3 linked regions of the Danio rerio genome follow. The protein of the gene in region 1 interacts with the protein of each later gene in a pairwise test. Links are inferred from orthologs where the notes say so. Each region holds a gene or a part of one and is shown on either strand. Other genes may lie near its edges. The genes, in order: tmpoa, lmna and lmnb2.

Region 1 (4,146 bases):
AGCCTCCTCCAATCGGGTCTCTTTACCTTCTCTTTAATTTCATGTGTTTTACGCACTCCACTGAAGACATTCATTACATTTGATTATTCAGTTACTGTATTAAATAAAAACTAAACTATTTACTAAATTATTTTACTATAACCCCAATAACAAAAACATTACCAAATGCTGCTTGTTTACAAGTCTGAGAACATATTTCAACATCCAAAATTACTTACGAATTTAAAGAATATTACATTTCTAAGCTACAAATAAAAAATTTTGGATTTAGCATAAAGTTTCAGAGCAAACTTTTGCTTTTCTGACATTGCTGGTTTGCGATAAGCGATAAGTTTTTTTCTGACCTTCAGTCCTGTGGCTTAGCATATGCCGTTACACACACATGCTTCAATACTAAATGTCATCGCTTTGGAAATTAGCAATAAAAGCAGCATGATGTTTTTGGTTAACCACAATTTGCCCAATTATGGCTTTTGCATCAGAGCTTCAAGACCCGTTTTATTTGAACACAACAACTCTCATAACTCTCACTATGCAGTGATGACATAATCAAATCAATCATCTTTATAGGTCACGATTGTTGCAAATTCTAAACCGTGCACAACAAAACATCCCAGAAATGTGACTGTGAGTGCGTGTCGAATGTTTCTGAAATTACTATCTCAGACACAGGAGCTTCAAAGAGGAATGCAACACACACACATCTGGCAGCCAACATATGAATTCCTTCACACAAGAATCTATTTCCTCAATAAAGGGACCAAACCCACTATAAAAACAGCCTTGTGCAGTTCTTGAATTATTCTACAGCTCCTAGACCTGCAGCTATCTGCTCAAAGCTTTTAATATGGGGTCTATAGGGCTGCATAGTATTGTTATTATTATCATAGTTTGTATCATAACACACAAAATAAGAAAATAAAATAATAATTGTGATTTATAAAAAGACTAACAGTAAATGAAGAAATATTTAAACAAATGATAAATAAATGCACAAAGTATAAACAGTCATCTAAAACACTGAAAACTCTTGAGTCTTAATTTAAGAGATCTACCTTACGAATGGATTTCAACCTTGATAAATCACATACTCTAAAGGGTTTTATTCCTAAAGAAAAACCTATTGCCAGACTATATAGATGAAGAGAGAAAGAAAGAGAGAGAGAGTTAATGGGAGTAAAATGCTGTGCGGGAAGATTTTAGAATGACAGGCAGCACTATCTCATTCACGAGCACTGGAGGTGCCCTTAACATCAAACATCTCTGTAAAACATAAAAGGACTCCTGTGTAGTTGCAGGGGTGGGGGAGTGAGCTTATCAGGTTGGTTATAAAAACAGAACCAACTACAAACTTGTAGTATTCCCGCTTAATAACAGCGTCAACAGACATAAAATTACATCTGATAGAAAAAGGTGAAGAAAAAAGCACCAGGCATGCACTAGAACAATCCAAAACTACAGACTATTGGTTTATGAAATAGCAGCAAATACAAGTGAAGGGAGGAAAACTCCCACTTCTCTAAGTGTTTACCCAGATGTTTCATTGATTTAACAAAACTCAAGAAGCCATCTCAAGGCTTAGTTCGCTGGATTTTAATTTATAGGTTATTAATCTTCCCATATTTCTCATTCAAATTTGGGCTTTTACATCTTCTCAATGGCAACACCTTAATCAGATGTGTAAAAGATTACACAAAGCAGTGCACTTTCATTTAGAATACTTAATAATCCCTACAAAGTCATGCATTTATGAATTTGCCAGATGGAGTTATGGCTTTTGAACTATTATTAGTAATGCAATGAATCAGGCCAAGTCATTTAAGCGGGAAACTGTCGCAGGGTAATGAGTAATAGGATGTTCGACGAATAGGAATCGGTTCTTTTGAACAATTCATTTCAAATTTTGACTCATTAATGGAACTGCATTTCCTGACATCCAGTAGCAACATATTATAGCAATAAGCATTCAAAGTGTTTGATTATATTATGGGTAGTTTATAATATTTCCATTAGCCTTAGTTGCACGGATTAAGCATATATAATTTTAATATAATGTGTATTCATTAAACATCAAGAGCAAAACAAGTCCTCGACTATAATATTATGTATCTATTTTAATAGTACTCATTAAAGTAAAAATTGAGGTTCACAACTGTAAATCTCATTCAAGCATAGCACAAAGCACAAACCACATTTATTTGAAGGAATCGTTCAAACCGACGTTAAGTGATTCACTGAAATGATTCAAGTGAAAAGTAACGATTCGTTCACAAACCGGACACCATAGTAAAAAAGTTCGCCATGCCGGTTTGTTTTCATTTGCGAGACATGTGCAGGCTCACACTACACACTTACAACAATAAACTTAATAATACCAACCTCTCAACTTTTACCAAACAAACAGGCTTTTAAAAGATACATGCCTTGATAAAAATAATAACAATTCAACCTGCGAATTACGTCAACCACATCTGATTCACAATCCATGTGTAGCTAAAACAAAGCAAGCATCTCCAAACAACCCACCCTGCCGGAGCGGCTCCTGTTGGAGACCACGGGCGCTGGAGGAAGCTCCTCGTCGCTGGAAAAGACATCTGGAGAGCCGCTACTTTTTTTGTTTTGCACGGTCAGATTCTTTAAGTACAGCTGCACGTACACGTCCTTTCGCTGATCGCCGTTCGGGAGAGCAACATTATTGGCCAGCAATGCACTTTTAAGCTTGTCTTTAGTAAGCACGGACGGGTCTTCCAGAAATTCCGACATGTCTGTTGGTTCCAGCAGGACACTATCGCTGCCTGGGGCTGATTTCTTTTATGGGATCAGTGACCACCTTAGGAGAGAGACCCCTATTGGATGCGCGCCGCAGAAAGGAGCCTTCTGATTGGCGGGTGGACTATTTAAAATCACTGGCGATAAATAGACGAGTTCGACCTCTTGTTTATAGGAGATTCACTTCGCATAACGAGTAGAAAGAACAATAATTAAGAATAAGACTAAAAATTAAACTACTTAACAGCTGCTTCATTGAGGAAGTAAACAATACGATATAAAAGTGACAATTCATCTAAAGAATTAATACAATATAATGTATTTTAAAGAATTTTGGAGGCAAATAGGAAATTCAATGCATACTGGTTTCCACCATTCTTCAAAATATCTTCCTTTGGGTTTAAAACAAGACATTTTGAAAAGATGTCCAATTCTAAGCTGATTTTGAGACAGAATTGTCATTTTTTGGTGAACTGTATCACCTTAAGATACAACTCATATGTGACTGATCTAGACATACACAAATAAAGAGAAATATTCCAGATGATAAAGGTACAACATTTTATTGGCCAAATGATACAACATATGTTGCAACCAAAGACAAAACGATTAAAGAACTTAAGTCACTTTAAAGTTTTACAAATTTCCCGAGCACTCATGGAAAACATTTACCACAAGTTCACACTACTATTGATAAACACTTGAATAGCAAGTTCCTCAAAAGCACTTCTGCTGAGAGATGTTTTCAAACTGAACACTGAGCTCTTGCGATAACAAACAAATTGTACTGAAAGCACATTATAACACCAAAATAAAACAAAACAAAAGTAAATCTCAACCAAAGTGATCACAGTGCTGCAGAAACCGACCGCTTTTATACCAAGGAGCTGACTGATGCTTCATGGCTATCAAAGAAAGAGCAGGCAGCTGGAGGATTAGCATTAGCACTAGCACTCTCAGCTCTACCGCCGTCTCCTGATTTTCCACAATGCGTACGTGTGGGTTTCATCTTCACGTTTAAAAGTCATGCTTGGCAGCGCGGTCTGTCTCTAGTGAAGAAGGGTGGTGGCACAGCACTCTGCTGGGGTGTGGTTTCTTGACCCGTCCCGTCCCCTGACCTCTCCCTGTCCCGTGATCTTTCCTCCTTTGCCTCGTTGTCTCTCTCTTTTTCCTGACTCAGGCCTTGATCTCTGCTGGAGGGCAGTAAAGCGCTTCAGAGTTCTCTGATGACAGCTCCTCTGTAAGACAATGTGAGGTTTTACCATAGGATACAATAATAGGTTTATGCCTAACTATAAGGGAGTTCTCATGAGAGGGTAAACAATAATCACTGGTAAAATAATTTAGAGTGTATTTTAAGCATAAATGAATATTTAT
Region 2 (4,257 bases), on another chromosome or scaffold:
AAACAGTTGTGGAAAAAAAAGACCCTGGCACAAGCACATGGGCGGCTCAGTGTAAAAGTCCCAGAACATCCAAAGACCTACAGTATAAGAGAGACGTCTGACAGCTAGACGAGTAACACTATCAGTTCTGTACTTTCTCTTCTCATTCTCTCGTCGCATTACCTCACACAACCACTGCATTCCCACATAACAATGTGATTCCCTAGAGCAAATGTCTCTCCACCCGAGTGGCATTTCTGACATCTGTGACAACTAAAAGCAGATTATGTCACAATCAGGAGTCACGATCAGAAGTTCATTGTGTGCAGTGATTTCGGGGAACAACCTGCAGATTTTTTTGGGGAGAATTTGGGAAATTTTGCTGAGGCAGATGAGGTGGATTTGTGCTCTAGACTGGTGGTCGAAAGGTGGAGATGTTAGGACATACAGTATGTGTCAAATTACAAGACATGACAGGTTCCAACCAGAAAGGAATTTCGTGACACCTCCGAATTACAGTGTTTAAATCATTTTCACATTACTTCAAATGTAATGGCATTTAACTGTTAATATAACACTTAAAATCATTCCCAGTGATTAATTTAAGACTACAAATGAGTACAGCCTGAAATCACTGTATTTATTTGAGTAAAATGCTATGCTGTTAAAACTGTTGAGTCATGCATTGGGAATGAACATACAAATCGTTCTGTCTTTCTCTATGAACATCCCTAAAATGCCACTGCTATATGTACTACAGTAAACATGGCAGATTAAAACAAAAAAATACAAAGTACAAAAAAAATTATAAAATAATAGTAAATAAAACGGCAATAAAATAAGTAGCTAAAGTACAAAAATTACTAAAACCGATATATATAATAAAAGATGTTATTTTTTAACCCAGACATTTAAAAAGAACTTATTTTACAGAAGTAATTACAATATAAACTACGAATATAAATACTATATATATATATATATATATATATATATATATATATATATATATATATATATATATATATATATATATATATTATTTGCATGGCACATGGGTAAAGAAATCTTTTGGCTTTAGACATCCCCATTCTCACGAGTTTCTAAGTTCTCTTACCCTTCCAACTGAGTTTGTTCTTCCGAGGCAATCTGGAAACACCTCAGTGCTGCTGCGAATAGCCTTGTAAATACCTGTCCTGCTTATTTAAATCACCTGCTTGATTAAACTAATTAAATTAAAATTGACCGGCACAATGGATGGTTTTGTAAATAATACTGAAAACAGTTTAATATAGGTTTCTCTGAAACGGTGAATATTTCACTTTCATTTTATTTAGGCTAGATTATTATTTTATTTAACAAATCAGTTTGCGTTTTGGCGCTGAAGCATATAGTGAACTGGTTTTGTAGCACTCAGATAATATTTATTATTGTTGTTTATCTAGTAGATAACCAACAAATAAAAAATGTATTCAAATTAGGATACAAGGACGTGCTTTCATTTTCTCAATCTCACTCGCGGCAAGTTCAGTTGAGGGAGTGTTTAAGCAAATCATATACATATTTATATATATATATATATATTATATATATATATATATATATATATATATATATATATATATATATATATATATATATATATATATATATATATATATATATATATATAAACAGGAAACATAAGTTTGATCCTATCAGTTTCGTAACAAATGCCCTTAAATAATAGGCCTATAGCGTTTGACAGCAAGCACCAGTGCTTTTCAGGTTGAAATATGAATAAGGGATGATGGGGCAGGGTGGTGCTGGATATGTGCGTTCTTTTGAATAAAATCCTGCAGGCCCCTGACTTTAGATATTACTCTAGAGAATCATTCTAATACTAGCTCTAAAGTGACGTTGGTGAAGTAGCAATGGTTTTTGCTGTTTTGACATCAGCTTCAGATGTGAATGAATGGTAAAAGAAAGTAGTTCCTCATTCAAAAGAATTTTTAGACTCTGTTTGATTTTCTTTTTTAAACACAATAATGCCGTCAAACTGTTGTATAAACGCATTATCACACGAGTAACAGTGCGATATGACTGTTTATTGTCACTAGTGGAACACTAAAGCATGCAAACACGTTTACGCACGGCTCCCACCAGTGCTGATATACAGCCATATCACACTGCTACTCGTGTAAAATTGCTATTGCTCATATATAAAATATAATAACTTTCAACTAATAAAAATGAAAATAAAAAAAACTTCAATAAAATATTTTATTAAATAAAATATATGTATTAAATGAACTTTAAATACTAAAACTACTAAAACTTAAAAATAAATTAGTAAAAAAATACAAAAGAACAAATAGGCCCACACTTAAAAAATGAAAACTAAAAAAAATATCAAATAAAAGCTACATTTTACTTTTTAATACTATAACCTCAACTGTAATTGTAGCGGTAAAAAAACGAATATTTTTTATAAAAAACTAACAACATTTAATAATTAGCAGCAGCATGGCATGCATGTAATTTTTATAGAATACTTAATGTGATTGAGAATACTGTGAGTATAGCCTTCAAATTTTATTCTTTTTTTTTTTTTTTTTACAAAATTGTATATAATTTAAGGCATGCCAAAATGACTAATTCAGGACTAGAGACGGGAACTGCCTGGGATCAGCAAGGATATATTTGAGAAATAATTATGCTGTTAAAACTGTTGAGTCATGCATTGAGAATGAACATACAAATCTATCCATTTATAAACACGACATAAATGCTGTTGCTACGGACTACAGTAACCACCGCAGAAGATTAAATGTTTGACCAAAGATTCAGACAGGGAAATAGTGACTCACAGTTGCCGAAGCCCAAAATCAGGAATTGTTTGCAGGCGTCATGGATCCACCATCGCCGCACACTAGCAGAGCAGTGAGTGCAGCAGAATGATGGAATCGTGCGGCGTCCTCTAGTGGCCGATACATAGAAACGCAGAAATTTACCGTGGTCTACAAAAACATACACAGGTAATGAATTTTGACTGAAGTATTAAAAAAATCACACATTTTTATCAGGCTCCCATTTAGTAACTTGACGAATAGCAATGAAAATTTTAGTAGCTTGATGTATATGCCTTATTTTCTTAGCATTATAGTGACTGTGAAAGATCCTCATGATTCTGATCAAAACAAACAAAAGGTAAGATTTGCTAACTTATTCTTATTTTTTTTAGCACATAGACATTTGGCTACATGAAACATTAGGTCAAGACTATTTAACTGAAAGTCTGATTGACAAAACCCTGTAAAACCCTGGTTGCTAACTTTTTAGCAACTTGTCATAATACCCTAGCTTGTTTCCCTAAAAGCACCCAGCAACAAATTTAGCTATTTTTAACATTCATTTGGCTTCATTTAGCAACTTTTTAAAGAGTGTCTCAAATCAAAAGAGCAGTAGCTACTAGTGACTGCAGGCTTCGGCTAACTCTAAATCTAAATAGCTGGGCACAGAAGAGCAGCCAAAATAGTTCCTGGTAAACCAGAGAGACTGAAACGCATTTCTAGGACAGCAATTCAAGCACCCTTAGAATTTTTAGAAATTGTTCTTCCTGATCCGTCCAGTAGGCGGTGGTTGGGTTAAGGCATAGGGGTGGGGTAAGGCCATATTTGATCCTAGAAATGTAATTCTGAAACTGCAGCCTCTGGTTGTGCAGCACCAGCAATATTTGTGGGCTGAATGCAAGAGCAGTAGATAATATTTCACATTTTGTTAACAACCATTAACATGTAGGCTATATTTTTTGTACATTTAGATAGCATTAACTACCAATACATTGATATAATTAAACATATTTCAAATAATGTTTTGCTAAGATGGGCAGTCTATTTAAAAAACTCATGGATTCATTAATTCATTCACTTTTCACCTAAGTCCCTTTATTAATCAGTGGTCGCCACAGCAGACCTATCCCTGGGAAACATCCATACACACTTATTCACACACATACACTACGGACAATTAAGCTTACCCGATTCATCTATAGCCCATGTCTTTGAACCTGTGGGGAAAACCCAGAGAAAACCTACGCGAACATAGGAGAACATGCAAACTCCACACAGAAATGCCAACTGACCCAGCAGGCACTCGAACCAGCAACCTTTTAGCTGTGAAGCAACAGCTCTAACCGCTGCGTCACTTCGCCACCCCAAAACTCATGGATTATTAGTTTAAAGATACATCTAAGCCCAGCAACCCCCCCCCCCCCCCCCCCCATCCCATTTTACATAA
Region 3 (3,655 bases), on another chromosome or scaffold:
AACAATGAACAGACTCGTGCAGCCACCTTCTCTCCTGAACTTGAAAATATGATTGGCAGAGTCGTAGAAATGCTGGATTAAGATCGTTTAGGGGGACGACTCGAGATCGTGATCTTTTTTCGATTAATTGTGCAGCTCTAATTGCAGGTTTTCAGATGTAAATTTGAGAAAACGCGGGATGGTCTTTAATTAATACCAAAAACAAAAGTTTTTCACAGACCCCAAAATCTACAACAGATGCCTCCTTTAACAACATTACTAAAAAAAAAAGTGAAAATAATGTCAAAGTTTCAAAAAGTCCTGAAAATATACTACAGTAATTTATAGTAAATACTATAGTGTTTTAACCATACTGACACTGACACCTGCAATAGAGATAGAGATGTTGCACAATCAGTTAAAATATTGCTAGAATTGTATTTTTATGCATGGCCGATCACCAAAAATGATTGAGGTCATGTCCATATGTTGTGTCGATATAGGGATTATTGTGATAGGCCTAAGTCCTACAATGGATGTCAATGGCTGCTTTTATTTATGAGTATATTCTAATGTTTAGGTGCACTGTCCCTTTAAGATTTTCAGTTGTGCTAAAAAAAACTACTATAGAGGTCAATGGCTGCTTTTTTCCAAAATTCTTCAGATTATCTTAACAAAAACTGAGCGTGATAAAATTTTTAGGTGCACTGTCCCTTTAAGATTGTTTAGTTGTGCTAAAAAAACAAACTATCTTATTTAAATATAAAAATTTAGTATATTTTAAAAATTTTAGGTGCACTGCCCCTTTAAGATCCTCAGATGTGCTAAAAACTACCATGGAGGTGCGTGGGTACTTTTCCATAACATTCTTAAAAATATCCTATTCAACATAAACAGTCAATTAATTTTTAGATGCACTGTTTCTTAAAATAAAAACTACCATGTATGTCAATGGTTGCTTTTTCCCCAACATTATTCATACAGAATATCAACAAAAACAGCACATTTTATTGTTTAGGTGTACTGTCCCTTTAAGACTCTCAGTCGTGATCAAAACAAACAACTATGGATGTCAAATGGCTGCTTTTATTCCCTCAACATTCTTCAAACTATCTCATTTAACATAAAATCAGAGTACACTTTAATTTTTAGGTGTACTGTCTCTTTAAGACTCTCAGATGTGCTCAAAACTCAAATAAAAATCCCCTTGAGCGCAGAGGCGTGTGCCAACCTCAGGTTTGTATGATGATGTGGTTTACACAGTCGCCCACAGTCAGAGCGCTTAGCAACAGACTTCCTGTTTGTGTGTTGATTAGCAACGAGATGTGATGCAAACTGCAACAAGTTAAACCTGAGCAGGATTTCGCTACGACCGCTTTATCCGCGGCAGCAGCAGATGGGGTGGGATTTAAAGTCAGGTTAAGTAAGCCCGACTTAAGTGGAAAGACCACCAGTGACTTAAAGCCTTATGGGTAATTAAAAGACTGGGATAATAAAGCCAACAGGCGATTTCTGAGTCACATGACTGGCTAAAATGATGTATTATTGTGCGATGCTCACTTGCGCGTGACCTCCTCAAGCTCAGAGTTGACTTTTCCCAGCTCGATCTGAAGTTTAGCGCGCTCGCGAGCCGTTTCGTCCAGCACACGGCGAGCATCGGCCAGTTCAGCCTCATATAGAGACTTGATCCCAGACACCTTAAACACACACAAACACACACACAGACAGACAGATTAGCATGATGACAAACATGACAGATCCTGGAGAAACTGCAGCAAACTGAAGATCATGCAGTAGGGCTGAACATTATATCAATATCTCAATGCAGCGCTCGCAAAACTGCTAGCCTGGTGTCCAGGGGCTATAATGTTTTCCAGTCGGCTAACAAAAATTGATCTACTCTGCCCATTGGACTATCTTAATAGGAGGAAAAATATAGGCCATTTCAATGCTTTAACAATATATAAATCAAATGTGGTTATTGTCAAAAAAGCCTATAGTGAATGCCATTATATATTTTTTTATTTAAGTAAACACTTTTGTTTTTATTCAGTAAATATCCTTTCTATTTAAGCCATTTGAATTTATTTCGGGCTACCAAAATCTGAAGCGTGCCTGCCCGAAAGGCTACTAGCGATTTGTAAATTTTGCAAAGCCTAAATTTTGCAGATCTATCCAAAAGTCACATCGCAGGATTTGATTATTTATTAAAAGATGAAAGTATGAAGATATTATTGTATGCAATTATTTATACAATAACCATGTCATTTACATTTTGATAGTTCAATTTCTATAGTTCAATACTTTTAGACTCCCAAGAAAACCGTAAAGCACCATTTACTGAACTTTTATCATTTTTAAACATGTTTGTAATTTATAATATTTATCATGCAGATGCACAGCATTGCAAAATCCATAATCCCTGCAATTGAATGAATGAAATCCTTCTAACTAAAGCTATATTTAATTCATCTTGTGCAATTATATTCGTATCGCTATTTAAAATCGCAGCAAAACTAAATATGTCAATGTCAGTTTTACCAAATATCGTGCATAGGCATGGGCCGGTATGAGATTCTGACGGTATGATAACCTTGAATAACAAATATCACAGTATTGGGATTTCTGCTTTCAAATAAGTTATTGTCAAATGTCTGGGTAAAAAAACAGCAACTTTTACCTCAAATACCCAATAATATTACATATTATATTGCACATATTTTATTTTAACAAACATTAAAAATATTTTGGAACAGAAGCTTTTGATGTAGAGGTTCCTTTTCTGATCGAGATACTGTTGCCCTAAAAAAACTCAATAAAATAGTTGTGAAAAACATGTAAAAAAGTATATAATAATAATAATAATATAAAAAAAAACGTACATATATCTTAGGAATGGTATAACAGAGAACTTTGGTGGTTTTAAAACCCTTGACTTTTCCAAACTGCGGTAAACCTTGTAACCGGTTATCATCCCATGCCTTGTCATTTTACGTTTGATTGTTTAATTTCTTAATAAACCATAATGCGCTATTTATTTATTTTTTATTGTATTTGTGCATGTTTATGTGCTTGTAATTTCTTATATTGCATGTAGATGCACTGCAAAGAAAAATCATCAATCATCCCCAGTCAATGTAATTGATGAAATCTTTCCAAATGGAGCTGTATTTAATTCATCTGGTGAAATTTTATTCATTTCACAATATCTAATCATAGCAAAACAAAAATATGGCAACGTCTGATTTTTCCAATAAGGTGCAGCCCTATCATGATGCGTTCAGGATGCTAACACTATGCAGCGGTTATATCAGAAACATAAAAAAAAAAAAAAAAAAAAAAAAAAGTCAAATAAATAGATTTAGTTTCATTAGTCTATATCTCTGTCCTGGAGGGCCGGTGTCCCTGCAGGGTTTAGCTCCAACTTGCCTCAACACACCTGCCTGGATGTTTCAAGTATACCTAGTAAGACCTTGATTAGCTTGTTCAGGTGTGTTTGATTAGGGTTGGAGCTAAAATCTGCAGGACACCGGCCCTGCAGGAACAAGTTTGGTGACCAGTGGTCTATAGAATTAGTTTAATATGAAGAGCAGACATCTCATTCTGGCGTCTGCATTAGTAAGCTTACTTTATCTGGACAGAAAATTTAAACGTCAAACTGTGGATTAAATAGTTA

What was found.
Region 2: the proteins of tmpoa (region 1) and lmna interact in a two-hybrid assay, tested with the Homo sapiens proteins (2 studies listed by BioGRID, with this or other methods). The link is inferred for Danio rerio from reciprocal best matches to the Homo sapiens genes TMPO and LMNA.
Region 3: the proteins of tmpoa (region 1) and lmnb2 interact in a two-hybrid assay, tested with the Homo sapiens proteins (2 studies listed by BioGRID, with this or other methods). The link is inferred for Danio rerio from reciprocal best matches to the Homo sapiens genes TMPO and LMNB2.

Annotation. Positions count from the first base shown.
Region 1 is NC_133179.1:17,461,848-17,465,993, forward strand, and holds the start of tmpoa (thymopoietin a), read right to left. Parts: upstream 2,822-4,146; 5' UTR 2,764-2,821; coding exon 2,527-2,763; exon of another isoform or gene 1-2,526. Other genes in the region: strap (serine-threonine kinase receptor-associated protein), read right to left, coding at 3,946-4,007. UniProt on the Homo sapiens protein: May help direct the assembly of the nuclear lamina and thereby help maintain the structural organization of the nuclear envelope. Possible receptor for attachment of lamin filaments to the inner nuclear membrane.
Region 2 is NC_133191.1:33,786,955-33,791,211, forward strand, and holds the start of lmna (lamin), read right to left. Parts: upstream 2,904-4,257; 5' UTR 2,829-2,903; exon of another isoform or gene 2,496-2,828; intron 1-2,495.
Region 3 is NC_133197.1:3,269,273-3,272,927, forward strand, and holds part of lmnb2 (lamin-B2), read right to left. Parts: intron 1,677-3,655; coding exon 1,540-1,676; intron 1-1,539. UniProt on the Homo sapiens protein: Lamins are intermediate filament proteins that assemble into a filamentous meshwork, and which constitute the major components of the nuclear lamina, a fibrous layer on the nucleoplasmic side of the inner nuclear membrane.